Linked DNA regions of Mus musculus: regions 1 and 2 are each reported to be linked to region 3. The links are microRNA targets in miRTarBase. Many come from high-throughput screens and were not tested one by one. Region 3 holds a microRNA gene; each other region holds the end of a gene's coding sequence.

Region 1 (10,833 bases), not on the chromosome of region 3:
TCACATGAGCACTCAGAATAGAACCCAGGTCCTCTGAAAGAGCATCCAGTGATTAACTGCTGAGGCTCTTAACTGTCATGCTCTGATAGTTTTCCATAGCTACTTTTTTGAAACTTGGAATAAACCCCTGATAACTGAATGCAAAGTAAAACACCACACACAAGCACCAGACCATTCTATGGCCCTGTTCAATTGTCTCTGAATGCTTACATCAGTAAGAAATCTCCCATTCCGAGTCTCCGTACTGCAGAACACCCTGCTTTGCGGACTGTCTGCTGCTGCTGTAACATTGCCAGACTGAGGAGTTTATAAATGAAGTTATTTCTCGTGGTCTGGAGGCTGGGAAGTCGGGGAACATGGTGCCATCTGGCAATGCCCTTCATGCTATAGCGTAACATGGCGGAGGGTAGTATGCTATGTCTTAGCGAGATAAGTGTAGTGTCACATAGTGAGAAAGACAAGCATGCAAACTCAGTCGCTATCTTCTTATAACACCACCGATGACATCATGGGACTACACATCAATCTATGTACCTCCCAAAGGACTTTCCAGCTATCATGGATGTATGGATTTGGGTATTGCATGTTCATTGTATGCTCTTAGAGATGGGCACAGTTGCTAGTAAATTCCTTGGGAAACAACACCTTGTCTCTCCTTGTTCCTTGTTGAGCCTCCAAACACTAAGTTTTGTAACCACTAGATACTATTTATTGACAATATATTCCACATATCCCAAACTTGTTCCCTGCCATGCATTTTCCTGACTTTTGTTACCATTTCTTTTTTTTCTACCCTTCCTTTGGTTTTCACTCTGCATACCGCAAGACGGAGAAATGAAAAATAAAGACTATTTTTAAAGGCCATGAATACAGTCTCCTGCCCAGCTGTGCTACTAACAGTGGGACAGAAAAGCCGAGCAAAGCCCTTCTGGTGGGCAAACCCACTAGGCTCAGTTATCCTCCTTCCTTGGTGCAGCTCTGAAGGACAGCATCAAAGGGAACTGTGAAGGCCCTGTGACTTATAAAGTACCACAGGCGGACACCCACTGGGTCTCCAAAACTTCAACACACAAAAGATTCTCCTGCAGATTTTAATGTAATTTGGGACGAGCCCTTTGGACAAGCACCCCCAGTGTTTCCTATGCAGGTTGTCTGGAAACTTTTATCAGCTAGCAGATGAAAAATGAGGGCCTGAGAGGAGCCATTACTAGGTCAAAGCAAATAAAATAACCTTGAAAAGCTCTGCTCTGAAACCGGTAAAGTCCACATTCCTGCTTTAGCACTCACTGAGTGCCTAAACCTATTGGTCTCTAAAGGGTAACTTGTAGCCACTGAAAAATCTTAATAATACCTATTGTCCTGTGGTAGTTACTCTGTTCCCAAAGGCATCATTGGGCATTTGCATAAGTATCTAACCTTCCAGTTGACAGATGAAATACAGCTTCCTTCATGTAACTGCAGACAACTATTAAAGAGGGGGTGGGGGGCGTGGAAATCAAGCAGGCTGTATGCTGCTTAGGTCTGTGCTCTTTGGTGTCTGTTTCTCCTGCTAACTACTCTTTATACAAGTAAAGCCAGTAAGCAAAAAAATCTGTATGTGAAAACAAAAGAACTTTCTCTTAAATATTCCTTACTTTACAAATAAACTGCATGGGATTTCCTTACATGATGAACTTCCATAGTGCATTTAAGGATGGCACACCACCAGCTTCTAAAACACAAGTAATCTTTTTGTTTGTTTGTTTGTTTGAGACAGGGTTTCTCTGTGTAGCCCTAGCTATCCCTGGAACTCACTCTGTAAGCCTCGAACTCAGAAATCCGCCCGCCTCTGCCTCCCGAGTGCTGGGATTAAAGACGTGCGCCACCACTGCCCGGCTCAAACACAAGTAATCTTAAGGATCCATTTACGTAGCCAAATAGTTGCTCTTACTGTGGAATGTAAATGGGGTTGGCTCACCATTTACAGATCTCACAGTGACACCCCCCCCAACATGGGTGCTGAACCTCGAACCACTTCAGTGGGCACCTCTCAACCAGAATTCTATCCTTCACCCCAATACTGAATCAGAAGCCCTGGGGTATAACGTCTAGAATCGCCCTTTAAGCTACCGAGGGACTTTGGGTGAGAAACAATGACTCAGAAGTCTGGATGCATCAAACCCAGCATTCTTTGGAGGAATGAACTGAGGACTTGGAAAGGTACGCTGTGCAGAAAGCCACAGCTTGTGAGCACCACAATAAGCTGCAGAAGCTACGTCCTTGTGTCCCTTGGTTCCTTTTACACCAATTCAAACTGTGTTTCGTTAAGTTGCACTTACGTCTTTTCCAAATGCGCACCTGCAAATTAATCTCTCGTGTACAGGCGGGGAATAATACAGTCAGTGCCTACGTCTTAAAAGTTTCTGTGAGGGTATTACTAAGATAAAACTCATTATTTAATGTATTTAACAAGGTACCTGGAATACCACACTTACTGGCTAGGATGCAAAACCCACACACACATACACACTAAAAGCCTGCCTTCTTAACTGAAAAGGATTTCCTGGGCCACTGCAGTTATAAACCCATGTTTAATTCTGAAAGTCCAAGAAGACCTTAAATTCAAGGGTAAGATTTAAATTCATAATATCTACTATCTTCCTTTGCCAGCCACCACCTACGTCTGCAAAAAGTCCAGAGAATAATCACTCTGCGGTGACCTAACTTCATAAACCAGCCCGATAGTTGCATTGCTCTAGAGACTCATGACAGCGATAATCTATTCTGACAAAACGCCCCTTGCCCCTCAACTGGTGTTTCTCGGGCGCCCTACGGATGGATAACCACTAGTATACAGAACCCTTGGCTGTAGCAAATGGCCTCTCAAAGCTTCCCGCTATCAGTGAGTCAAGGAGCAGCGTCATCAGGCCCAGAGGCAAACAACAGCTGCGCACAGCTGTGCTGGGTGACCGCTTTGGTTACCCGCCCGACCCCATTCACCTCCTAAGAAACAGAAAAATAGACAAGCGCCATCCACAGATCTCCACGGCGCACACAGTGTGGCCTACGAGCAGCTAAGGTTGACCCCGAAACCTCATTCCTAGGGAGCAAGGGTCAAAGGTGACCCCGAGTGACCCAGCAGGCCCTAGCGGCACAAGAAGGTTAACGACCCTCTTGTGCCGTTTTTTTCCCAGCGGCGAGAAGCCTCCACCAGCTGCCGGAAGTATGTCACCCCGACTGCGGGGATGGCGGGAGTTGTAGTTAACTGGCTATATCTCTTGCAATAATAGTTCAGTTTTATCAAACAAGTAAACACCCTGAGGCTCTGCAAAACGAACGCGCTGCTCGCTTTCTGCCAAGTTCTTAAAAAAATCCTGGTTTCCCCTGCTCCGCAGGACGCGTTCGTGCCCCGCGCAAGCGCAGGCTCGGACTACACATCCCAGCGTGCCTTGCGGCGCTCCCGCCGCGCCCGGCTGTAGTCGTTGGTGTGGGCCGCGTGAATGGAGCTCCGCGCGTGAGGCAGCGCCTGGCACGGCCCGCGCCAGCGCCTGTCTGGGCCCCGGAGCGTGAGTGCGGGTAGCGGCCGTGCGCGTGCGCACTCGCCTTCGCGCGCGGGCAAGCGCCCGACCATTGGCGCGCTAAGCGGGCGACCGTGCAAGGCGGCCCCGCGCGCCCCGCTGGCCGGTTGTTGCGGGGAGGTCTCCCGCCTGGCGCGGGGGTCCGCGCGGGTAGCCGTGGCGGCCGCCGGAGACCGCAAGGGGCGGCGCAGAGGCGGAACGGGCCGGCCGCGAGCCGCGCAGGAAGCGCCAAGCATGCCCCGCGACAACATGGCCTCCCTGATCCAGCGCATCGCTCGCCAGGCGTGTCTCACCTTCCGCGGCAGCTCGACGGGCTCCGAAGGGCCGGCGCCGGGCTTCCCGGAGAACCTGAGCCTGCTCAAGAGCCTGCTGACCCAGGTGCGCGCCGAGGACCTCAACATCGCGCCGCGCAAGGCGCTGCCGCAGCCGCTGCCCCGCAACCTCCCGCCGGTCACCTACATGCACATCTACGAGACGGAGGGCTTCAGCCTGGGCGTGTTCCTGCTCAAGAGCGGCACGTGCATCCCGCTGCACGACCACCCGGGCATGCACGGTATGCTCAAGGTGCTGTACGGCACGGTCCGCATCAGCTGCATGGACAAGCTGGACACGGGGGCCGGGCATCGGCGGCCGCCGCCAGAGCAGCAGTTCGAGCCCCCGCTGCAGCCCTTGGAGCGGGAGGCCGTGCGACCGGGCGTGCTGCGTTCCCGGGCCGAGTACACCGAGGCCAGTGGGCCCTGCGTGCTCACTCCACACCGGGACAACCTGCACCAGATTGATGCCGTGGACGGGCCAGCTGCCTTCCTGGACATCCTGGCCCCACCCTACGACCCGGAGGACGGCCGGGACTGCCACTATTACCGTGTAGTGGAGCCCATCAGACCCAAGGAGGCTTCCGGCTCTGCCTGCGACCTTCCCCGAGAAGTGTGGCTCCTGGAGACACCACAGGCCGACGACTTCTGGTGCGAGGGAGAGCCCTATCCAGGCCCCAAGGTCCTACCTTGAAGCTCCTGCCGCCCGGGGAACTGTGGGCCAAAGATGTACCCTGCCCTGCTCAAGAAAGGCCTGGCTGCCCTCTATCTTCCATAAGGGCTCTTCTCTCCGCCCCCTCGCCTGGACGATGGATTTACTGGAGTGACCAGCGCCACATCTTGAGGAACCTTGGGGAACACGGCCCACTGGAGTACAGCCACCACCGGGCACGGTTATGGGGGCGGGTGGGCGGAAGGCTAGGTTGATTCCTGGTATCCTCAGTGCCACCAAGGCTTTGATTTAAGGGAACCGGGCAGGGACCCTAAAGCGCTTCCATCCTAAAGCCATAATGAAACCATTTTTGTTTCTCATTCTCTACAAAATACACTAAGTAGTTTTGAATCCCTCTTCCCTTCGGTGACTCAGATTTGTTTTCTCTCCTGCCCACGATTGCTCCTTAATAGTTTAATTTATTACTGATTGTGCATGACCTTGAATTGTTCTTGTTTTCTTTTTTTTTTTTTTTTTTTTTTTTTTAGTTATTCGTTTGGTTAAAACACACACACAAACTACTCAGCATCTAAAGTGAGGAGTTCTGAAAAGACATCTTTCTAGCACTGGGGTTCACCCTCATAACTGTGCGTGTTGAGGACGATGTCTTTCCTCCCCTGGCTTGGTAGCCACTTCTGGTGTACTCAGGTAACCTTTAGTAAGAAGGTCACATACGCGAATTCTCTTGTCAGGCCCTTAAAGCTCGTCTTTCCCTTGGGTCTCAAGATCTGTCGTTTAAACAAATTTTTTTGTTGCTATTGGGGATTTGCCTTTAAAGCAAAGACGATTATTATCCTCAGCTGACTTTTTCCTTGACGTGCTTCAAAGATGATACAATAATTATGTGTTTTCTAACCAGACGATTCCGAGGAGCGGAATCTGCTATGCTTCCAAATAACTGAATGTAAAGGCCCTGGCCACCTGTTGAATTCCATACTCGTATTTACTTCCAGCTTCTTCCTAGGAAAGAAGAGAAAGATACTCTTGACTGTTTGTTGTTGTTGTTGTTGTTGTTGTTGTTGGTTTTGTTCTGTTTTGGTTTTTTGTTTTTGTTTTTTTGCGTTCTCTGTGGAGGGAGCCTGCAGAGGAGCTGTGTGGTTCCAGCTGTGCTGCCGGGAGATAGCCTCCCAGCACTCCCTTAAACAAGAGCCAGTGCTGCCTACTACTGCCTTCTCTTGCAGGAAGAGGTAGAGAGCATGTAGTACCCTGGGAGGGGCTCTGGAAGTAGGCTGCTGGCTAAGCAGGCAAGAAGCCCTGGGCTCAATCCTCAGTACCACATAAACCAAGTGTAGCACACAGCATTTAGGAAATATAGGCAGGAGGATCAGAAGTCAAGGTCAGACTTGGCTACATAGTGAATTTGAGCGGAACCGTGGATGCATAAGACACCATCATATAAATGTGTGTGTATACATAACATATGAATATGTATATATACACATATACATATGTATGTACACACACACATATGAAATGGATACATGGAATAGATGCTTGAGAATTTAGCCATTTAGGGCACCAAGATTGGAGACTAAACCCTATGCCAACACTGCAGCAAACCCTAGCGCTGCTGCAGTATTATGGCTGGCGGAGGCTCAGCCCCTTTACCATGTTTACAGACGTGTCTATCGATTCTGACCATGGACCACCAGTTTCCCCTGTTTACTATGTGTAGGGTTCCTTTTTATCACAGGCCTTTTCATAAAGACAAACTGTAGAAATCAGATGTGCCCAGCTGTCTTCTAAGCTCTCTTGATGGCTCATGTGGCAATAGAATATACTAATATCGGCAATAAATGGAGACTTACTGTCATGAGTGACAAATGTTTGTTGACCTGGCAGGGAAACAAACTGCTTTTGGCTCCATGTATCCAGGATACACATCCAGGCTGAAGGGGTGTCCTTCCCGGTGCAGTCATTAAAGTGGTACGAGACAGCAAATTATTGCTGGCTTGGCTTGTGGCTTTTTGTTTGTTTGTTTGTTTGTTTCATTTTAATAAAAATGAGAACAACAGGCCAGTGGAAACCTGCTTTAAACCTGACAAACCATGAGCAACACCCAAACACTTCCACCATGGCTGCTAGAGTTCAAGTTCTTTCTGATCATGGTCTTTAAAATGCCTTTGGAGCCTCTCGAAGCAGCTCTTTGAGCCACTCGTATGAACATCTAGATAGGAAGTGATGGTTTTAAATTTGACTATTTTCATAGAATATTAATAATGAATATGGTTTTTCAGCCACATACAGATTTTGAATTGCAGCAAAGGTTGATTCCTTTACAAGGATTGTTGAGAGTCATGTGTACTTTACAGCATACTCTGGAGGTCCTTTCATGGAGCCTGTAGAAGTCTAGCCTGGAATTGGGCTAGTAATAACAATTATTATGAAGGCCTTCATTGCAAAAGAAGGAGGAGAAATATTAAAGGTTTGTTATAAGCAGTTTGGAAGGAAAAAAACCCTAAGGTGCTTTTCAAAAGAGTAACGAAATTGTTCTGAGCTAAAACAGCAATACTGTGTTCCTCATTAGTTCAATAGGAACAGTGAAACTGTCATTTCACTAATAAACTGAGTAAACTTACGGTGAAAACAGTGTAATATGTTTTAATGAGCCACTTGAGAAAGAATATGCTCGTTACTAAGATAAAATGTGCAGAAAAATCCTTGCACGTCTATGCATAAACTATTAGCTATAACTTCTGCCGTTGTGTTTCCCTGTAGGTCTACAATATAGATTGTGGTCTAGAAATTAGGATAAAAGTTACCTTCTCCTTTTCTTAGAAAAGACCAATGAGCACAATGGTGTTAAGTCACTTAACTGTTCTGATGAATAATAAATGCAATAACTAGATCCTGAGTGAGACGCTGTCTGTCTGTCTGTCTAAATACACTGAACCTTTTCAACCTTGTAGTTCTATCAGTGACCAGTTATATCGATGTAAGATTTTCATACCTTCCTACTCCTTTGAGAATTGATGGGTTTACTACCACATGCTGCTGATTACATTAAAAAACAACAACAACAAAAAAAAAACCCTGCCTTTTAGGTAATGTGTTTTCTATGTTAATAGGAGTGAGTTCTCTTGAGTTTTTAACATGACTGTCAAAATGTACACCTTTCCTTCCCCACTCGATCCTTGCATTGTCTTGTAGGTTCCTTGAACTTGACATCTGGGGAGAACCTACCTGCTCTGATGGCAAATGAGTCAACTGCTTTAGCTCTCCTGTCCTGCCCAGCAGAGAGACAGTTACCCCCACTTCGTCACTCTGCCACTCTCCTGACAGCGTTTGCTCCTCTACCGCAGGCCTGAATTCAGAGTGTAGGGTTATACAGAACCCAGATTGGTCCATTGTGCTGAGGTTTCTGCTGTCAAAGGAGATCATTTCTTAACAATACCCAGTCTTACAGTGCAGGGGTGTTTACGTTTCTGAGTAAGATGTGTGTACTTATGGGAAATAAAAGCATGTTTAAAATTACGTAGAAATAATGTTGCTTATTGCAAAGTGGAGAAGGGAAACATAACTATTACTATTTTAATTATTGTTGAAAACTCACAGTTTATTCCATAAGGTTGTATTGTATCAAAAGCCAGTGACCTACAGATCCCCCAAAGACCAAGAAGTGGTATAAACTTAGTTTGTTTTCTTGTGAGTGGTCTTTGAAGCAAGCCGACTGAAAATACATCTGAGAGTATTTACTGTCTAATTACACTATTTTGCTGTAACAGAAAAGGCTGCTTTTGTATTTAATCTAAAGAAACTAGCAAGAAAAACAAAGTCAATTTTTATCCTAAAAGGAAAGAAAATCTTAAGGCTTAAAGTGTTTTCATCTCTTTTTTTTGTCTTAGTAATTCCATGGTTACCATTTGGACTGGCAGCATTTAGGAGTCTATCTACATGCCTCCACACACATGCTGAATTGTTCCAACAGTTGAAAACTTTTATGAAATGATTTGCCTTGGTCTCGTAAACAATTAGGATACGGATATTAAATATCCTGGCTTGAGGAAGTCATTTAGGTTTCATCAGCTGTTTGTTATACAAATGAAACCATCTCTGGCATGAATCTCTTAAGGAATCTCTCTGCACAAAACCTGAAACATTTGGGGGACGCAGGGGAGGGATTAAAAGAACCAAATTTACCATTCTGTGGTGATTTCTTAGGCAAAAATTTTAAATGTCAGGAGAATTGGCCTGAATGCTTTTAAACTGAGAAAGTTGGTTAAAGATATCGGGTATGTAAGTAACTGGGGACAGAAGCAGAAAGGGTAGCTCTGACCATTCAGGTGTACTGAATCTTATGGCTTGTTGGGGAGGTTTGCTACCACACCAGGATGGAACTGATCACATAACCGGTGTGCTTTAGCATGGAGACTTCTTTTTGTCTTGTTCTTTAAGTGATGTTTAGTCTTGCTTTTAAAATCCTGGCTTGGGTGATCTTGATTGAATGTGGTCCAAAATTAAAATTTTAAAGATAGCTAAAAACTACAAAATTTAGGTGTGTACTATCTTTAAATAATGAAAGTTTTGCAGGAGAAAGGTATTTAAAAGTTACCACGATGTGGTGTGGCTTTATAGTTGCCAGTATTGGATAAGTAACAATAATAGTTTTGGTAGTTGACAGCCCGAGTCCAGTGGGAAATTATAAGGAAACCATCCCACACTAAAGGTTTTGAAATTTCTATTTAGGAGTTCTGGAAAGAAGTTTCTATACCCATGAAAGGGGGTTAAAGGAAGGAGACTGGGGAGGGGCACTAGTGGCCTCCATAAATTGAATCTCTTATCCTTGTGCTGTTAAGGGCCAAAGATGTGACCACCACTGTAGAATGCAAGCCCTTGATTAGTAGCCATCAGCCTCAGGGACTTTACAGGGACCAGAAGCAAGGGAGGGGTTTTCTGTTGAGGCTGAGCAGTGTGGCTACACCCGCAGATTACATTGCATAAGGAGCAGTGGACATTATAAATATTGAGGTCCAGATTTTCAGAGTAAAGATGCCAACGCGCATAACACAAGTGGGTAGGTCAGATGGTTTTGAGTTTAAAAGAAAATGATAAAATGTTCCCAGTAAAAAAGAAACCTTAGAGTTTTATAATGTTTTGGGGGAGGCAGCTTACCTAGTAAGTTTAGATTGTCTTGGAGTTTTACAGCCTCGTGTCTACCTATCTTAAGCTATTTTGAGAATCATTTCTAGATCCACCAAGCTTGTGACAAATGATCCCTCCAAACATGGGCAACCATCTGAGACGCCAGGACTGGAGAGAAATGAGTCCTGGGGTAATTGCTGAAGCCGTTTCATTGGCATCAGCTGGCATCAGCGGTGTCCGAGCAGGTTTGATCTGAAGGAATGATAGCTCTTTGAAAAAGTTTCCTGTGGTTGTAAGATTAATCCTGGAACTCAGAAAGTCATTTCTAATTTGACCATGCTGCCACACTTTCCACAAAGCCACAACTCAGAGTTCCAGGCCGTGGTCAGAGTTCTGAAAGCAGCCCTGGGGGGTGTCATCTCTGAGTGGGCACTTGCTTGTAAGTATTTATTTTCCGGAGCCCACTCAGGAGCAGAGAGAAGCTATAGGCTGTTACAGGGGACAGAACAGTGAGTCAGAAGGCTTCCTCACTAACTCAGCGGGAAATCCCTGAAGCCTAGCTAGGTAGGGCTTGTTATCCACAGGCCAGCAAGGGAACATGGAGGGCTTGTGCTAACCCCTCACTAAAGCGGTGTTTGTTCCTAGTTCTCAGATGTCAATAACTATTTTAACTCCACCCAGTAAGTACTTCAGAAATGATCTCTGCAACCAGAATATTGTTGAAAAGTATTTATTTACACCATAGTCAATAAGCCATCCATTATCTGAACTCCAGTTAGTGGTTTTTTTATGTTAGAATAGATTGTTTCTCTCTCCACAACTATTAAGAGCTAATAACCAAACAAATCAGCGGCAGTGACATTGAAGCACATTCTCACCTGAAATTTGGCTACAAAGGTAACACTTTTAAGTCACAAAACAGAGCATACAAAAATATACTTTCTAAAAAAATTCCAAATATTAATAGGCAGAAATATACAGCCATACTTAAACCCAAGGAGTGATTTTTCTGTTCCCATAGTAAGGCATCCTGTACACATGCAGACCCTGTTAACACTGCCCACATCACACAAGGCACAGAGGACACTTGCAACACCACTCACTGCATGCATCCTATGTACGTCCCCCTTTAAATAAGTTAGTTAACCTTTGACTCATTTCAAGAGATCAT
Region 2 (9,755 bases), not on the chromosome of region 3:
AAAAGTCTTGGAGGTCCTAAGGCTGTTCACCCAGACTGTAACTTGAACACATTAGTGTATCCTGGCTTTGCAGGATACACCATTCTGAGAGAGGTGTGCCTGCTCCTGGTATTACAGGCTGTTTGCATATTAAATCTTAGGTATTACAGGCTGCTTGCATATTAAATCTTAGGTATTACAGGCTGCTTGCATATTAAATCTTAGGCATCTGACCTTTTGGGGAGCAATTTCCTATTCTTGGCTGCACAAATGAAGCTAAATCTTACCCTATTTCTAAAATGCCCAGATAGAATGAATGAGTGTATGGCTCAGAGTGCCCCCACAGGCTGTTTCCAGAAAGAACTATTTGTACCTTGGGTGTAACCAGCAGCTGTAGACAAACAGGGTGGAGCAGCGATAAGGGATGACAAAGGCCGGGTCAGTGTCTATGATCTGTATAAAGCTGACTTTCACGCCTACCTGTGAAATGCCAAGCTTTAGTTTGCCCTTCCAGTGGGCAGCAGCAGGGGTTGCGGGTGCGGGTGAGGGTGTGCTCTCCTGGTCACCTATAAATAGTAGCTAAATTTAGATTTGAAAAAGTCATGGAAAGTGGTAGGAGGCCAGTCCTGAGACAGCTGCTTCTGGTCTCTGCTCCACCCACTCCACACTGGAGCTGAGTGTGGTCCATTTGGAAGGATTTGCAGGGTAATTCGTCTTTTTCATTACCTTGGACACGGGCCATACCCCCCCACCCCCACTGTGAATAAAAATTTATTTTGTTTCCTTGGAGATTGCATGGATTTGATGGTTGGACGAGAGGGAAAAGAGCAAAGAAAATGTAACAGTAATCATTGGGCTTTTAGCACTAATTTCCCGAGGATGCTGTCATCTTGAAATTCTCGTCCCCTTTGCTTTTAGTTTCCTGTTTCTCCTCCCCAGGATAGCTCTCTCTTGGATAAAGTCTCTCCCTCATTCTCTGCAAATCCTTGCCTTTTTTTTTTTTTTTAAATAAAGTTACTTGGACACTCACACTCCCAAGAGGTCTTTACATGCACCCAGACTGATCCCTTCTAGATGGTGTCTGGCGTTCAAAGACAAGCTCAAAGCTTAAAAGTGGTGCCTTGGTTCTGTCTCAGAGGTCAGCAAACTGCGGCCTACAGGCCAAGTCTAGCCACTGTCTGACACTGCACAGGCCATGAGCTGAAGAATGGATTGTATGTGTACATACGGCTAGGGTGATGGTGCAGCAATCAGAGGAATCACAATATCTGGCAAGAAAATTAAAGGAGAATCAAATACCAATATCCATAAGTAAAAGCTTGCTGAAATACAGCTAATCTCAGTTGTTTGTCTACAGTGACAGACTGCAGTAGCTACAAGAAACTATACAGTCACCAGAGTAACAGTAGATACACAATGTCTAAGTTCTACAGTCAGGACTAAGTAGGTGCCTTAAGGTGAATAGAAGGAGGTGAAGGGTTGTAAAATACACTCTGATTGGTCCACGCAGAGATAAGGACAACAGCGTTGCTCTATCGTTTCTCCTGTACCCAGTCCGCTTTTCAGAGCTGGGAAGACGGTCATCAAAATGTTGTTGGATGAATGAAGAAGAAGACAGGACAGAGAGGCACAAAGCAAATGAAACATGAGTTGCACCCTGTTTGGAATGAAAAAGCATCCCCATGACAACCTCCAGCTAGTCTTGCTTCATATCATCTATATCACTGGTTCCCAGACGTTAGCAAAAACCCTCACTTTGGATGCCAACGTATCGAATGCTCAGTGTGTGCATAAGAAATTGAAAAAAAAAGTCTGTATGAATCTGGCTAACTTTGCTGATGCTAATTCAAACCCACCTTTCTGACCCTCTTCCTCAGTCACCAAATGTACATCAATTTAGTCTAGACACTAAACTCAGATGAGGAAGTTATCAAGGGAAAGGAAATCAAATGTAAACTTCATAAATAAACCTTTTGTTCATCTCTCTCTCTTCTTCCCTCCCCCTCCCTCCCTCCCTTCCTCCCTCTCTCCCTCCCTCCCTCCCTCCCCATCTCTGTGCTTGCAGGTGACACCCACACATATCCTTCAGCGTTGGCAGAGATGTTCACTCAGATAATGACTGGAGTTCATGCTACCTGTTCTCATCTTCATGTGTCATCGTCACCATGCAAAACCACAACTATAGGAAAACAGAGCTGTTTGCTGCTCTTCTGTCTCAACTGACATTTCCACCCAGTTCACAGCTTGCCCTTTGGAGACAAAGGAGATTATCTGTCATTGAGATGCCTTTACATAATGAAGTATGAGTGAAATCCAGGCTATCCTTTACAACTTTTTATCCCCTTGAGTTTGTAGCCTTTCCAATCCTTTCGCAGAGTTTAAGTGGGCAAATGGCATAGGGCATGGCCTTTGGGAAGCACACATTCTGATCCTTGATTTTGCCCCAAGAGTGAGGTCAGCTCAGAAAGTCTGACATATTCTTGGACACACAGACTTTCAATGCAAGTAGTTTCAAGCATTGGGTCCAATGTCAACCCTGAAATGAGCAAAAGGCACTTAAGCTAGTGTTTCACATACTGCTCTGGACAGTAGTCTACAGTTTTAAGAACCATAAACCTATGATTCAAAAAAAAAACAAAAACAAAAACAAAAACCACACACACACCCTACTTTCAGAATGTCAGATGGGAAAACATAAGGAGGTCCAATCTCTCAGATGTATTTCTCAAAACCCAAGATCCTGAGTACCACTGCCAGCACATCAATGGAGGCTCAGTTGAGGAGAACACAGAGCACACCATCAGCAGGTTTCTAAGGTGGTTCCCAGACCATCTGTAGCTGCCTTTTACTGTGGGGGTCAGATTTCTGTTGCAATGAACCCAGGAGTTTCTTTGATTTGTCTCAACTATCTATCATCTCTGTTCCAGATATAACGAGAGATGACAAAAGATACTGCTTAAATAGGAATGTGGGTCTAGGGAGGTGGCTCAGTCAGTAAGGGACCTGTCGCATAAAGATCTAAGTTTGGATCCATTCCAAGCAGTCACGTAAAGAGTCAGGCTTTAAGGGGCTCACCTGACGTACTAGAGCTGGGAAGGTGGAGGCAGGAGCTTACTGCAGCTCACTGGCATGAGTCCTACATTCAGTGAGAAAGTCTGTCTCAAAAAGTACAGTGCAGAATGATAGAGAAAATATCCAACATCAGCATGTACATGCATACACATGTGCTTATGCACACACACACATGCACACACACACATACACAAAGATATATACACACATGGCTCTTCCCACTGAAAAGGAAACTACCCTGGGCTGGGGATGCAGCTCAGTTGTTTGCCTAGATGGAGCCCTGGACTGAATCTCCTACAAAGTGCACTAAAGGCTGTTGTTTGTTGATTGTAAATTCTCACATTTGTGGGGTTAAGACATGATAGAGGGGCCTGTCTAGTGATGTCATAGAATTTGCCTTGTGTTATACCTTGAGGATGAGTCTGGAGGTACCTCAACTTTTTAACAGGTTATACAATTTTCCATTAGTACAATAAACACATCCTTACTGAGATCTGTGCAGAGGTTTTTCCATCTATTAATCTGGTACCTTTCCAGTTTGATCTGATTTCCCTGTTGAAACATCCACGAGACTAGCTGATTCCAGACTTTCTTAAGTAGTAGCCTGGATGTGAGCTCATCTTTTTCAAGCTTTCTCTGCATTTATTGAACTCCACAAGTCTCGTTTCAACAAAACAAAGAGTGGGTTTAAAAATGAGTTCATCATGTACCTTGTTTACTCCAGGTCATCTGCAAAGGAAAACTTAAGGCCAAATAGAAACAGCTACATGGATTACCAAGTATCAGACAAGCTCTTGTGTCTGTGGCTCAAGTGTCTCCTCCTCCACACACAGGATTCTTTTGCACTGCCCCCCACCCCACCCCACCCCCAGCCACTGTCCGCTGATGTGTGTGTTAAATACTAGTATGGTATAAATTTTCAGCTTGCTCCCAATGCCACGTATTTTGCTTGTTTGCTCTTCTTTTTGGCTGAAGCTGTTGCAAGCTTTTCAAGCACCCACTTACGCCATGAGCAAGACAGGTAAAGAGACTGGCATTTCCTGTCCTGACCATTGTTTGAGATCTTTTTGGATCAGAGCTAACAAAGCATTTCTAGACTTCACTGGAACAAAATCACTCCACAGAGAAGAGCAGTAATTCAGCTGTAGGGTGAGTTTTTAACTACAAAAGCCATATTTTCAGAAACCAGAAGCTAAAGATGGGTTTAAAGCATTGACAAAATGCTTCCCTCAGAAACATGGGTTTTAAATGAAAAAACTCTCAGTGCCAGGCATGGGATATGTCATAGAGACTGCGGAGGCCCGCAAGGCAGCAGAAGCTGCTATTGTCCTGGTTGCCCACCTTAACTGCATGGTAAAGCCCTGCTGCTGAAGATACAACAGACTTTAATTACAGAACAGAACAGAGTAGTCAAGGTAGAAATGGCCTGAGAATTTCTTTCCTGCTGGTTAACTTTCATAGTGCCGAGAGGTGCTTTTCTGGCAACTGAGGGGTGGGGTGGGGTTATAAACAATGCCACCAAGAACCGGTCCCTGGAGGCTACAATATCAACCTGACAGAGAAGATGTGCCCACAGATGCAATGGTGACAGGAAGGTTATGGGTTAACCAGTCACTTTCTGATTAGATTTGAGTCCTACACTATAGGAAGGAATTGATGCCTGATACTGTGAACCTGGTCAAAAGTCCGTGGCTCATGGTTCATAAGTCATAGGTCATAATAGGGAACCCACTGCTATTGTTTTACTGAATAGACAGGTAAGACTTCCTTCTAAATATTTCTTTTTATATCCATAGGTAAGTGCTGCTCTCAGCCTTTGCCAAATAAGCCTCTTTTCTGCACTAGGCAGAAACTGGTCAGATTGGTGAGAATGAGTGACTTTTGTGTTTTCTTCAACCCTAAATGGGAATCTGTAGCAAGCAACCTTTCCCACAAAGTTCGGGGGACGTCATGGAAGAGGGAACTAACTTATAGAATGTCAGAGCCAGAGAGTGTGGCATGCTGTGACATGCTGTCTTCTAGATATGCCACAGCCACTGCACAGCCATTGTACTATGAACTTACAGGAGCCATGGCTACCTGTACAAGACCTGTTCAAGGTCAAGCCACCATGACTGGTACACATTCCAGCAAGTGGCACTAACTGGACTAGGTGGGTTACCAAAATGAAAAGAAAAGGAAAAGAAAGGGGAGGACGTGAAAACAAGAGGGGGTTGTGCATTGGGGACTGCCCAGGGCCATGGTGGCCAGGAGCTGGGTATGGGTATTGTCAGATACAGCGAACAAATGCATGAAATTGTCAACAATGTTATTTTTATTTATTTTTTATGTGTGTGTTTTGCCTAAATGAATGTCTGTTGGACCACATAAGCATCTGGTGGCCATAGAAATCAAAAGAGAGCATCAAATATGGGTGCTGGGAAACAAACCTGGGACCTCTGGAAAAATAGCCCATGTCATGCTCTAAATGACTGGGATATCTCTTCAGCCCCAATAACAACATTTTAAAAGAAGGTTCCAAAAAATAAAAAATAAAAACAAAAAGGATGTCAAGAAGCTATTGAGAGAGAACTTGAGAACTTTAAATGGAAAATCAACCTATTCCTAATTGGTTGTTTTTAGAATAACATTTTTAGAATGACTCCGACTGTATTCATCTTTCAGGATGCATGAAAATTTCTAAGCTGTAAATGAATTTGTATCAATGATATGTCCTTCTACCAGATTTCTCTGTGTCTGCTTTACCTCTTCTGTCTCTAATAGGAAGTGGAAAACAGAAGTGATTCTGCTTCCTTCTCAGACTATGAGCAGATCATTCAGATTTGCCACTAACTCATAAACCCACGTGAAATCCATCTAGTCAATGAATAAATATTTATTGCAGGCTAAGCATTATTCTAGGCACTGGGGATACAGCAATAAAATCAAAGCAAATGGAGTTCTTTCCCTTTGGAGATCCGGTGTAGATTTAGGAAAAAAAACAGGCAATAAACCAATAAATAAGAAAAATACCTATTAGTAGAGTTATAGAGAAAATAAAACAAGGCATGGAGACAGGTTGTACAGGTAATTAACTACAGTTGAAGGTGGCATTTGGGCAAATATGTCAAGGAAGTAAGAGCAAACCAAGTAGATATCTATGAAATAACATTGTAGACAGGGAAAATAGTATGAATAGAATGTGTTAAGTCCCTGGTACAGAAACAATCTTGATATTTGCATAAACATAGCAGTGCAAGAGAGATTTAAGCTTCACCTGTCTTTGTAGAGAGCATAAACTCATTCACAAGTCCTGAGAGAACCCACACTACTGTGCTTAACTTGGGTTAATGGTGGCTATATGGACATGAACATTGCAATTTCTGGTCCATCTTACCATGTAGTTGAATTTAACATATTCAGGTAAGTATACAAGTTACATATAGTTCCCATATGGTAGTACAGAAAGCTGGGATGAGAGATCAGACATCCATTTGACCATCAGTATGCATATTAAAATAGCCATTGCAGATTAGTGGCTCACTCCGTTGACTAAATGATTGAAGACCTAAATGATTTGAAGGCTCAATCAAGTTATATCTGTCCCCAGCAGTCACATTACAGAGAATACATTGGGTAAACCCAGACTGAAATCTCCAAGAGATAAAACATTGGCCTACTGATAAACTGCTACTGACTCGTAGCAAACCAACCACAGCTTGTATTTCTTCCATAGAAAAACAACGTTTTGAAAATCTGCAGAGAAAGAGACAGACAGAGAGATACACAGAGACAGAGAGACACACAGAGAAAGACAGAGAGAGGGAGAGAGGAAGAGACAGAGAAGTGAGGGAGGGGAGACATATGCACAGGAGAGAAAGAGAGAGACAGAGACAAAGAGACACAGAGAGAGGAAACCAAAGGTGTTAAAAATGTTTGTCATACACTTTTTCAAAATCTCTCCCAACTCACTGCAAAGGGGGTGCATACCTGCCCTAAGAAAAACATTAAAGCACGAGTTTAAACACAGGCATGTGCTAGTGTGGTAATTTTATCATTGGATGTAGCTATAAGGTACACCGGGTCTCTTTAAAATTGGCATGCTCGGTACCAAATAGGTGAGCTCATAATTAGAAATTACAGGCACACCTTTAGTTCTTAGACTCTTACAATAATAGCAGCAAGTGACATAGTTTTCTTCATACACACTACATCTGAAACTGCAAAAGCTTTACTCTGACCCAGTGTTTTTAACCCGCCTGTTGGTTCATACCGAGAGCGAAAGGCTTTGGACACCTATGTTTCGGTTGTGTTCAGAGGAGGTATGAAAACTTTCAGGTGTGATTCATCTCCAGTAAACCTCCTTTTCCAGTTAGAAAACAAAGTTATTGATTGCCAAAGACCAAATCTTTCCGTTTAAAAAAAAATGGTTTGTTATTTGCTATGACCCTTTCTATAAATTCTCCAGCTCTGTCATTTTCAAATATAATTTTATAACTTAGATTCAAGAACTCTATGTGTCAAGAGGCTGACTGCAATCACAAGGGCCAGCATTCTTTTATCACACAAGTAGGGCTAATCTTGGCCTTCTCTGGTTTAATTAAAAGCACAGAATAGAAGCCATTAAAAAAAAAAAAAACCAAAGCACAATATCTTCTGTCTAGAATTAAAAGATTCCTATCTTTTCTTACCCCTCATATTAAAAAAAAAGTTTAAAGATCTCTTTATACACAAAAACAGTGGGGGGAGGGGAAATGCCTCATGTTTGATTACAGGATATTCCAATTAGCTGGAAAGTTATTGAAGCTGAGAGATTATCACGAGTTTGGGTCATGATTGTGCACTCCTGAAATCCCAACTCTTGGGAGGCAGAGGCCAGAGGATCTTAGCAAGTTTCAGTGTGGCCATCTTACAGTTGAGGAGTCATAGACTTGGATGAACAGTGACTTGCCTGAGGCCATTTAACTCATAATGAAATGTTTTTTAAACCAGGTCTTCCTGACTTTAAAACCTCTGAATAATTCAAAGCACTATACAAATGGTGAAGACAGCTGGACAGCCGTTCTTCAAGGTCCCCAGATACATTCCAGTTGATCCGAACTGGAAGCAAAAAAGAAAGTCCACCTTCATTCCAGTATCAGGTCTTGTAGGTACTTGAGAACTTTGATGTCGTCCCTAAAGACACATTCCAAAATAATTGTTCATGTCAATGTATCCCCATGGTATGAAGCAGCTGAGCCCACAAAGTTCTGGAGTCCTGAGTCCTAGGACATATAAAATCCCTCTAAACTGTAGAGTCTAAAGGAACTTATACTGGGGCTCCCAATGGTGCCTTCTGGAAAACATCTATGTCTTTCATACATGGCAAGAATGACCTCATTCCCTTCCTCAGAGGAAGCTTCCTGGAATGCATCCTTACCACCCTGACAAATACTAACACTACCCTTTTTGTTCACAGTATCATGACTAGCAATATATAGACACAATTTCAGATATCCATCCACAAAGGACAACAAGTGGCCCAACTGTAAGAAGTTGAAACTTAAAATGATTTGACTATAACAGGCTACTAAACAGATAACTCTTCATAGCATTTTGTGTGTATGTATATGTGTGTGTGTGTGCACATAGGTATGTATGTATACATACATATGTGTACGCGTTTGTTTTTTTTTTTTTTTACATAAAGTGACCTTACTTCCTCTCACATTCTTCTTGGTGTGGGAGGGCTATCTAGTTCTGAAATCATGTTGTGACTATTAATAATACTGAGTTCCCATGACCGGGAATGAGGAAAGAAGCACTGGGGGGTGCTTTGAGGCCATTCCATGAGTCAATGTGATTAAAAATGGTCAGAAATCATTAAAAAAATATGTCCACAACTTTCTAAACTAACAGGAAAACACTATTTAGGAGCTAAGTGGCTCATTTCATGAGTGAAAAAAGTGTTTTCATTATTTTTCAAATAGTTAAGTACTATACTCTAACCTATCCCCACCCCAAACACCAACTTAGCCAAAGAGAAGGTTTTTCTATCCTTTCTTCTCTGTCCAAAACATCTTTGGCTATCACACCACATGACTGAAATGTGCTGGCAAGTGAAAACGGGGCAGGGCTCATCCAGGAGCCTGCAAATTGACTTCCCAAGGCTGAATGAATGATCTTTTTGATTGCTCTACTCTAACTTCCCCAATCAAGTCAATAAATGTATTAAGCTTGAGTTTGGGTCAAGCCACACAGACTTTATCCTGCCATAGAAGCTTCTGTCATTCATTCCAGAGTCTCAAGATGATCATGATGTTAGATCTAGACACTCTAAAATAGTTGGCATTGGTGGCCCAGTAGAGGTCCAAAGTGGCCGGCTGAAGATGAGGCTGTCCTTTCCTATCCAGAGCAGTGATGATGAGCAGGTAGACGGGTACCAGCCGGCGGGCTTCTGGATAGGGGTCCCTGTCAGGGGCGGTACGCTGCAAAGTCTCTGGCAGGGGCGTAGGGCTGGTAAGGCTTTCGAGTGAGCCCAGGCCTCCGGGGAGTCATGTTCATGTAGTCACTTTGAAGGAGTCTGTTCCTTCTACTATTTGTCTAGGGGGGGAAATGAAAAAAGAAAAAGGTCAATATGGAAGGACTTAGAGGAGGTATTATTGGAGGGGTTCTAAGACTTTAGGGATAATTACTCAGATCATCAGCTGTTAAATGACCCTGAGGAGCCTTTTTGTGTGCCTTGG
Region 3 (10,833 bases):
TTTACACTTATCCTCATGAGAGATCAGCCTGTGATTCCTCCATGTATGTGCATGTGTGTATAGTTGTGTGTGCATGTTCATGTCTATATTTGAATATACATAACATACACACACACGTATAAACGCAAGCACACATACACAGACACAGGAATGGCATTCGCCAATCCCTTTGAATGATAAGTGATGTAGAGTTTTAGAGATTATGCAATAGGGGACATTGAATGGACTCACTCACCAGGTGTAAAAGATTGACAAAGTCAGGAGGATAAGGATTGCAAATTCATGCTTAACTTCATTTGGAGATCATCTTGGTATTAATGTCATGCAACCCATGTATGTGCATGTGTGCTTACTTGTATGTGCATTGTATGTGTTGACATGATATACATAACATAAACACACGTGTTTATGCAAGCACACACACACAGGAAAAAATTGCATTCATTTATACGTTTGAATGACATGTGACTCAAAGTTTTCAAGATTATGAAGTAGTGGGACAGTGAATGGTTTTACTCATCAGGTGTGAAAGATTGTGGATCAGGAGTTCTAATTCATGCTTTACTTCATGATGACTTAGAGATATGCCTGGGATTCATGTGATGTCCCCTATGTATCCCTATCTGTATCTGTTTCTATTGTGTGTGGATTTGAGTATATGGATGTACCTATCTACACAAATATGTACATGTACACAGACACAAACAGAAACACACACAAAAACATCAGTGCAACTCATCGATCCATTTGAATGACATGTGACTTAGAGTTTTAAGATTTTTCAGTACTGAATGGGGAGAGGTCTCACTCAGTAGGTGAAATCCCTTGACAGAGTCAGGTGGATCAGGAGTTCAAGTTCGTGCTGAATTTCATGATGAGTTCATGATCAGCATGGGATTCATATTATGCCCACCAAAATGTACATGTGTGTATAGTTGTGTGCATATTCACTTCTCTATATGAATATGCATATACACACATGCACACACATTCATAGGAATGGCCAGAGCTATGTCTCAGTTAGGAGGTGAGCACTCTTGCCAGTGTCAGGAGGATGAGGAGTTCAAATTCATGTTTAACTTCATGATGAGTTAGAGTTCAGCATGCGATTCATGTGATGCCCACCAAGAATGTGCAGGTGTGTATAGTTGTGTACATATTCACTTCTGTATATGAATATGCATATACTCACATGCAAACATACTCCCACGAATGGCCCGTGCTATGACTCAGTTAGGAGGTGAATACTCTTGCCAGCATCATGAGGATGAGCAGTTCAAATTCATGTTTAACTTTATGATGAGTTAGAGATCAGCCCGGAATTCATGTGATTTTCCCTGTGTTTGTGTTTATGTGTATAGGGAAGTATGCCTGTACATGCGCGTATATGAACATGCATATATATATATATATATATATATATATATATATATATATATATATATATATACACCCACACAACTAGGGACACATTCATGTGCACACAAACACACATGGCAGTCATCCATTTGATTTATACGTGCTTAGAGTTTCATTGAGTGTATATTCATGGTATAGGGAATAATGTCACTTATCAGATGAAAACCACTTGCCAGAGTTAAAAGTCTCAGGAGTTCAAATTCATGCTTAACTTCATAATGAGTTAGAGATCACCCTGTATTTGTGTGATGGATCCTAGGTATGCACAAGTGCATATAATTGTGTGTGCACGTACATGTGTGTATATGATCATACATATAAATACACACACATACAAATGTATTCACACACACAGGCATGCACACTCACACACATAAGAATGACACTCATTGATCCATTTGAATGATTTATGTCTTAGAATTTTGCTGATTATAAAGTAGAGGGACAGTGAATATTCTCACTCACCAGGTGTAAACAATTGTCAGTGTCAGGAGGATCAGGAGTTCAATTTCATGCTTAACTTCATGAGCAGTTAGAGATCATCCTGGAATAATGTGATGGCCCCTATGTATGTGCCTGTGTGCGTAAGTGCCTGCATGTATATGCGTGTATATTTTATGCATATACATACACACACCTACACACACATGCACACAGACATGCGGGAATGGCCCTCACGGATCCATTTGAATGAAATGTGACCTACTGCTTTGGAGGTTATGTATGACTGGGCCAGGGTGAGGTCTCACAAACCACAGGAAAACCCTTGGTAGATTCGAGAAGATCAGGAGTGCAAGTTCATGGTAAAGGCATGATGAGTTAGAGGTCATCCTGGCATTCATGTGATTGCCCCTATGTATGTGTGTATGTGTTGATGTGTGTGTACATGTACATGTGTGAATATGATATACATATACATACACGCACACATAAGACACATATGAGCACACAGACACATGGGAATGGCACTCATCAATCCATTTGAGTGATAAGTGACTTAGAGTGAAAATGCTTGCTAGAGTTAAGAGTATCAGGAGTTCAAATTCATACTTATCCTCATGAGAGATCAGCCTGTGATTCCTCCATGTATGTGCATGTGTGTATAGTTGTGTGTGCATGTTCATGTCTATATTTGAATATACATAACATACACACACACGTATAAACGCAAGCACACATACACAGACACAGGAATGGCATTCGCCAATCCCTTTGAATGATAAGTGATGTAGAGTTTTAGAGATTATGCAATAGGGGGCATTGAATGTCCTCACTCACCAGGTGTAAACGATTGACAAAGTCAGGAGGATAAGGATTGCAAATTCATGCTTAACTTCATTTGGAGACATCTTGGTATTAATGTCATGCAACCCATGTATGTGCATGTGTGCTTACTTGTATGTGCATTGTATGTGTTGACATGATATACATAACATAAACACACGTGTATATGCAAGCACACACACACAGGAAAAAATTGCATTCATTTATACGTTTGAATGATACGTGACTTAAAGTTTTCAAGATTATGCAGTAGTGGGACAGTGAATGGTTTTACTCACCAGGTGTGAAAGATTGTGGATCAGGAGTTCTAATTCATGCTTTACTTCATGATGACTTAGAGATATGCCTGGGATTCATGTGATGCCCCCTATGTATCCCTATCTGTATCTGTTTCTATTGTGTGTGGATTTGAGTATATGGATGTACCTATCTACACAAATATATACATGTACACAGACACAAACAGTAACACACACACAAACATGAATGCAACTCATCGATCCATTTGAATGATATGTGACTTAGAGTTTTAAGATTCCTCATTACTGAATGGGGAGAGGTCTCACTCAGCAGGAGAAATCCCTTGACAGAGTCAGGTGGATCAGGAGTTCAAATTCGTGCTGAATTTTGTGATGAGTTCATGATCAGCATGGGATTCATCTTATGCCCACCAAAAATGTGCATGTGTGTATAGTTGTGTGCATATTCACTTCTCTATATGAATATGCATATACACACATGCACACACATTCATAGGAATGGCCAGAGCTATGTCTCAGTTAGGAGGTGAGCACTCTTGTCAGTGTCAGGATGAGGAATTCAAATTTATGTTTAACTTCATGATGAGTTAGAGTTCAGCATGCGATTCATGTGATGCCCACCAAGAATGTGCATGTGTGTATAGTTGAGTACATATTCACTTCTGTACATGAATATGCATATACTCACATGCAAACATACTCCCACGAATGGCCCGAGCTATGACTTAGTTAGGAGGTGAATACTCTTGCCAGCATCATGAGGATGAGCAATTCAAATTCATGTTTAACTTTATGATGAGTTAGAGATCAGCCCGGAATTCATGTGATTTTCCCTGTGTTTGTGTTTATGTGTATAGGTGAAGTGTGCGTGTACATGCGCGTATATGAACATGCATATATATATATATATATATGTATATATATATATATATATATATATATATATATACACACACACACACACACACACAACTAGGGAAACATACATGTGCACACAAACACACATGGCAGTCATCCTTTTGATTTATACGTGCTTAGAGTTTCATTGAGTGTATATTCATGGTATAGGGAAAAATCTCTCTTATCAGATGAAAACCACTTGCCAGAGTTAGGAGTCTCAGGAGTTCAAATTCATGCTTAACTTCATAATGAGTGAGAGATCACCCTGTTTTTGTGTGATGGACCCTAGGTATGCACAAGTGCATATAATTTTGTGTGCACGTACATGTGTTTATATGATCATACATATAAATACACACACATACAAATGTAGTCACACACACAGGCATGCACACTCACACAAATAAGAATGACACTCATTGATCCATTTGAATGATATATGTCTTAGAATTTTGCTGATTATAAAGTAGGACAGTGAAGGTCTCACTCACCAGGTGTAAACAATTGACAGTGTCAGGAGGATCAGGAGTTCAATTTCATGCTTAACTTCATGAGCAGTTAGAGATCATCCTGGAATAATGTGATGGCCCCTATGTATGTGCCTGTGTGCGTAAGTGCCTGCATGTATATGCGTGTATATTTTATGCATATACATACACACACCTACACACACATGCACACAGACATGCGGGAATGGCCCTCACGGATCCATTTGAATGATATGTGACCTACTGCTTTGGAGGTTATGTATGACTGGCCAGGGTGAGGTCTCACAAACCACGGGAAACCCTTGGTAGAGTCGGGAAGATCAGGAGTGCAAGTTCATGGTAAAGGCATGATGAGTTAGAGGTCATCCTGGCATTCATGTGATTGCCCCTATGAATATGTGTATGTGTTGATGTGTGTGTACATGTACATGTGTGAATATGATATACATATACATACACGCACACATAAGACACATATGAGCACACAGACACATGGGAATGGCACTCATCAATCCATTTGCGTGATAAGTGACTTAGAGTGAAAATGCTTGCTAGAGTTAAGAGTATCAGGAGTTCAAATTCATACTTATCCTCATGAGAGATCAGCCTGTGATTCCTCCATGTATGTGCATGTGTGTATAGTTGTGTGTGCATGTTCATGTCTATATTTGAATATACATAACATACACACACACACGTATAAACGCAAGCACACATACACAGACACAGGAATGGCATTCGCCAATCCCTTTGAATGATAAGTGATGTAGAGTTTTAGAGATTATGCAATAGGGGACATTGAATGGTCTCACCCACCAGGTGTAAAAGATTGACAAAGTCAGGAGGATAAGGATTTCAACTTCATGCTTAATTCAGTTAGAGATCATCCTGGTATTCATGTGAGGCCATCCATGTATGTGCATATGTGTTTACTTGTATATGCATTGCATCTGTTGACATGATATACAAAACATAAACAAACGTGTATATGAAAGCACAGACACAGAGAAAAAAATTGCATTCATTTATACGTTTGAATGATATGCGACTTAAAGTTTTAAAGATTATGCAGTACTGGGACAGTGAACGGTTTTACTCACCAGGTGTGAAAGATTGTGGATCAGGAGTTCTAATTCATGCTTTACTTCATGATGACTTAGAGATATGCCTGGGATTCATGTGATGCCCCCTATGTATCCCTATCTGTATCTGTTTATATTTTGTGTGGATTTGAGTATATGTATGTTCCTATCTACACAAATATATACATGTACACAGACACAAACAGAAACACACACACAAACATCAGTGCAACTCATCGATCCATTTGAATGACGTGTGACTTAGAGTTTTAAGATTCCTCATTACTGAATGGGGAGAGGTCTCACTCAGCAGGTGAAGTCCCTTGACAGAGTCAGGTGGATCAGGAGTTCAAATTTGTGCTGAATTTCATGATGAGTTCATGATCAGCATGGGATTCATCTTATGCCCACCAAAAATGTGCATGTGTGTATAGTTGTCTGCATATTCACTTCTCTATATGAATATGCATATACACACATGCACACACATTCATAGGAATGGCCAGAGCTATGTCTCAGGAGGTGAGTACTCTTGCCAGTGTCAGGAGGATGAGGAGTTCAAATTCATGTTTAACTTCATGATGAGTTAGAGTTCAGCATGCGATTCATGTGATGCCCACCAAGAATGTGCATGTGTGTATAGTTGTGTACATAATCACTTCTGTATATGAATATGCATATACTCACACGCAAACATACTCCCATGAATGGCCCGAGCTATTAATCAGTTAGGAGGTGAATACTCTTGCCAGCATCATGAGGATGAGTAGTTCAAATTCATGTTTAACTTTATGATGAGTTAGAGATCAGCCGGGAATTCATGTGATTTTCCCTGTGTTTGTGTTTATGTGTATAGGGAAGTATGCCTGTACATGCGCGTATATGAACATGCATATGTATATATACACACAACTAGGGACACATATATGTGCACACAAACACACATGGCAGTCATCCATTTGATTTATACGTGCTTAGAGTTTCATTGAGTGTATATTCATGGTATAGTGAATAATCTCACTTATCAGATGAAAACCACTTGCCAGAGTTAGGAGTCTCAGGAGTTCAAATTCATGCTTAACTTCATAATGAGTTAGAGATCACCCTGTTTTTGTGTGATGGACCCTAGGTATGCACAAGTGCATATAATTGTGTGTGCACGTACATGTGTGTATATGATCATACTTATAAATACACACACATACAAATGTATTCACACACACAGGCATGCACACTCACACACATAAGAATGACACTCTTTGATCCATTTGAATGATATATGTCTTAGAATTTTGCTGATTATAAAGTAGAAGGACAGTGAAGGTCTCACTCACCAGGTGTAAACAATTGTCAGTGTCAGGAGGATCAGGAGTTCAATTTCATGCTTAACTTCATGAGCAGTTAGAGATCATCCTGGACTAATGTGATGGCCCCTATGTATGTGCCTGTGTGCGTAAGTGCCTGCATGTATATGCGTGTATATTTTATGCATATACATACACACACCTACACACACATGCACACAGACATGCGGGAATGGCCCTCACGGATCCATTTGAATGAAATGTGACCTACTGCTTTGGAGGTTATGTATGACTGGGCCAGGGTGAGGTCTCACAAACCACGGGAAAACCCTTGGTAGAGTCGGGAAGATCAGGAGTGCAAGTTCATGGTAAAGGCATGATGAGTTAGAGGTCATCCTGGCATTCATGTGATTGCCCCTATGTATGTGTGTATGTGTTGATGTGTGTGTACATGTACATGTCTGAATATGATATACATATACATACACGCACACATAAGACACATATGAGCACACAGACACATGGGAATGGCACTCATCAATCCATTTGAGTGATAAGTGACTTAGAGTGAAAATGCTTGCTAGAGTTAAGAGTATCAGGAGTTCAAATTCATACTTATCCTCATGAGAGATCAGCCTGTGATTCCTCCATGTATGTGCATGTGTGTATAGTTGTGTGTGCATGTTCATGTCTATATTTGAATATACATAACATACACACACACGTATAAACGCAAGCACACATACACAGACACAGGAATGGCATTCGCCAATCCCTTTGAATGATAAGTGATGTAGAGTTTTAGAGATTATGCAATAGGGGACATTGAATGGCCTCACTCACCAGGTGTAAAAGATTGACAAAGTCAGGAGGATAAAGATTTCAAATTCATGCTTAATTCAGTTAGAGATCATCCTGGTATTCATGTGATGCCACCCATGTATGTGCATGTGTGTTTACTTGTATGTGCATTGCATGTGTTGACATGATATACATAACATAAACACACGTGTATATGCAAGCACACACACACAGGAAAAAATTGCATTCATTTATACGTTGAATGATATGTGACTTAAAGTTTTAAATATTATGCAGTAGTGGGTCAGTGAATGGTTTTACTCACCTGGTATGAAAGATTGTGGATCAGGAGTTCTAATTCATGCTTTACTTCATGATGACTTAGAGATATGCCTGGGATTCATGTGATGCCCCCTATGTATATCTATCTGTATCTGTTTCTATTGTGTGTGGATTTGAGTATATGGATGTACCTATCTACACAAATATATACATGTACACAGACACAAACAAAACACACACACAAACATCAGTGCAACTCATCGATCCATTTGAATGACGTGTGACTTAGAGTTTTAACATTCCTCAGTACTGAATGGGGACAGGTCTCACTCAGCAGGTGAAGTCCCTTCACAGAGTCAGGTGGATCAGGAGTTCAAATTTGTGCTGAATTTCATGATGAGTTCATGACCAGCATGGGATTCATCTTATGCCCACCAAAAATGTACATGTGTGTATAGTTGTGTGCATATTCACTTCTCTATATGAATATGCATATACACGCATGCACACACATTCATAGGAATGGCCAGAGCTATGTCTCAGTTAGGAGGTGAGTACTCTTGCCAGAGTCAGGAGGATGAGTAGTTCAAATTCATGATTAACTTCATGATGAGTTAGAGTTCAATATGCCATTCATGTGATGCCCACCAAGAATGTGCATGTGTTTATTCTTGTGTACATATTCACTTTTGTATATGAATATGCATATACTCACATGCAAACATACTCTCACTAACGGCCAGATCTTTGTCTCAGTTAGGAGGTGAATACTCTTGCCAGCATCATGAGGATGAGCAGTTCAAATTCATTTAAACTTTATGATGAGTTAGAGATCAGTCCAGAATTCATGTGATTTTCCCTGTGTATGTGTGTATGTGTATAGGGAAGTGTGCCTGTACATGTGTGTATATGAACATGCATACACACACACACACACACACACACACACACCGAGGGACACATACATGTGCACACAAACACACATGTCAGTCAGCCATTTGATTTATACGTGCTTAGAGTTTCATTGAGTGTATATTCATGGTATATGGAAACATCCAACTTATCACATGAAAACCGCTTACCAGAGTTAGGAGTCTTCTCGTGTCAAATTCATGCTTAACTTCATGTAGAGTTAGAGATCACCCTGGATTTGCGTCATGGACCCTAGGTGTGTACATGTGCATATAATTGTGTGTGCACGTACATGTGTGTATATGATCATCCCTATAAATACACACACATACAAATGTATTCACACACACACAGGCATGCACACTCACACACATAAGAATGACACTCATTGATCCATTTGAATGATATATGTCTTAGAATTTTGCTGATTATAAAGTAGAGGGACAGTGAATATTCTCTCTCACCAGGTGTAAACAATTGGCAGTGTCAGGAAGATCAGGAGTTCAATTTCATGCTTAACTTCATGAGCAGTTAGAGATCATCCTGGACTAATGTGATGGCCCCTATGTATGTGCCTGTGTGCGTAAGTGCCTGCATGTATATGCGTGTATATTTTATGCATATACATACACACACCTACACACACATGCACACAGACATGCGGGAATGGCCCTCACGGATCCATTTGAATGAAATGTGACCTACTGCTTTGGAGGTTATGTATGACTGGGCCAGGGTGAGGTCTCACAAACCACGGGAAAACCCTTGGTAGAGTCGGGAAGATCAGGAGTGCAAGTTCATGGTAAAGGCATGATGAGTTAGAGTCATCCTGGCATTCATGTGATTGCCCCTATGTATGTGTGTATGTGTTGATGTGTGTGTACATGTACATGTGTGAATATGATATACATATACATACACGCACACATAAGACACATATGAGCACACAGACACATGGGAATGGCACTCATCAATCCATTTGAGTGATAAGTGACTTAGAGTGAAAATGCTTGCTAGAGTTAAGAGTATCAGGAGTTCAAATTCATACTTATCCTCATGAGAGATCAGCCTGTGATTCCACCATGTATGTGCATGTGTGTATAGTTGTGTGTGCATGTTCATGTCTATATTTGAATATACATAACATACACACACACGTATAAACGCAAGCACACATACACAGACACAGGAATGGCATTCGCCAATCCCTTTGAATGATAAGTGATGTAGAGTTTTAGCGATTATGCCATAGGGGACATTGAATGTCCTCACTCACCAGGTGTAAAAGATTGACAAAGTCAGGAGGATAAAGATTGCAAATTCATGCTTAACTTCATTTGGAGACATCTTGGTATTAATGTTATGCAACCCATGTATATGTATGTGTGCTTACTTGTATGTTCATTGTATGTGTTGACATGATATACATAACATAAACACACATGTATATGCAAGCACACACACAGGAAAAAAATTGCATTCATTTATACATTTGAATGATATGTGACTTAAAGTTTTAAATATTATGCAGTAGTGGGACAGTGAATGGTTTTACTCACCAGGTGTGAAAGATTGTGGATCAGGAGTTCTAATTCATGCTTTACTTCATGATGACTTAGAGATATGCCTGGGATTCATGTGATGTCCCCTATGTATCTCTATTCTATCTGTTTTTATTGTGTGTGGATTTGAGTATATGGATGTACCTATCTACACAAATAAGTACATGTACAGAGACACAAACAGAAACACACACACAAACATCAGTGCAACTCATCGATCCATTTGAATGACGTGTGACTTAGAGTTTTAAGATTCCTCAGTACTGAATGGGGAGAGGTCTCACTCAGCAGGTGAAGTCCCTTGACAGAGTCAGGTGGATAAGGAGTTCAAATTCGTGCTGAATTTCATGATGAGTTCATGATCAGCATGGGATTCATCTTATGCCCACCAAAAATGTGCATGTGTGTATAGTTGTGTGCATATTCACTTCTCTATATGAATATGCATATACACGCATGCAAACACATTCATAGGAATGGCCAGAGCTATGTCTCAGTTAGGCGGTGAGTATGCTTGCCAGAGCTAGGAGGATGAGGAG

The links. The annotated mature microRNA mmu-miR-466c-3p reads AUACAUACACGCACACAUAAGA and lies in region 3 at 4,801-4,822, shown strand. An mRNA with a match to its seed (bases 2 to 7 or 8) in the 3' UTR can be bound and repressed. Matches are read on the target gene's strand: a 7mer-m8 pairs with bases 2 to 8, a 7mer-A1 pairs with bases 2 to 7 and ends in A, and an 8mer does both.
Region 1: miRTarBase lists Ado as a target of mmu-miR-466c-3p. Seed matches in the 3' UTR shown: 7mer-m8 at 6,031-6,037.
Region 2: miRTarBase lists Cd28 as a target of mmu-miR-466c-3p. Seed matches in the 3' UTR shown: 7mer-A1 at 8,710-8,716, 7mer-m8 at 8,673-8,679 and 7mer-A1 at 6,467-6,473.

What each region holds. Positions count from the first base shown.
Region 1 is chr10:67,541,732-67,552,564 of GRCm38, reverse strand. It overlaps Ado (2-aminoethanethiol (cysteamine) dioxygenase), which reads left to right and starts at 3,610. Exons shown (of 1, transcript NM_001005419.2): 1 at 3,610-8,054. The coding sequence starts at 3,792. The coding sequence ends at 4,562. Egr2 (early growth response 2) reads right to left here. Exons shown (of 4, transcript NM_001373983.1): 4 at 10,377-10,833.
Region 2 is chr1:60,769,514-60,779,268 of GRCm38, reverse strand. Cd28 (CD28 antigen) reads right to left here. Exons shown (of 4, transcript NM_007642.4): 4 at 5,910-9,612. The coding sequence ends at 9,484. 2310016D23Rik (a long non-coding RNA gene) reads right to left here and starts at 808. Exons shown (of 3, transcript XR_865459.1): 1 at 353-808.
Region 3 is chr2:10,491,520-10,502,352 of GRCm38, forward strand. Mir466b-7 (microRNA 466b-7) reads left to right here and starts at 4,749; the gene lies at 4,749-4,836. The region is part of intron 10 of Sfmbt2 (Scm-like with four mbt domains 2); the gene reads left to right. Mir467a-8 (microRNA 467a-8) reads left to right here and starts at 4,461; the gene lies at 4,461-4,543. It overlaps Mir669p-2 (microRNA 669p-2), which reads left to right and starts at 4,978; the gene lies at 4,978-5,064. It also overlaps Mir467a-9, Mir669a-8, Mir467a-7, Mir466b-6, Mir669a-9 and Mir466b-2, and 2 more genes.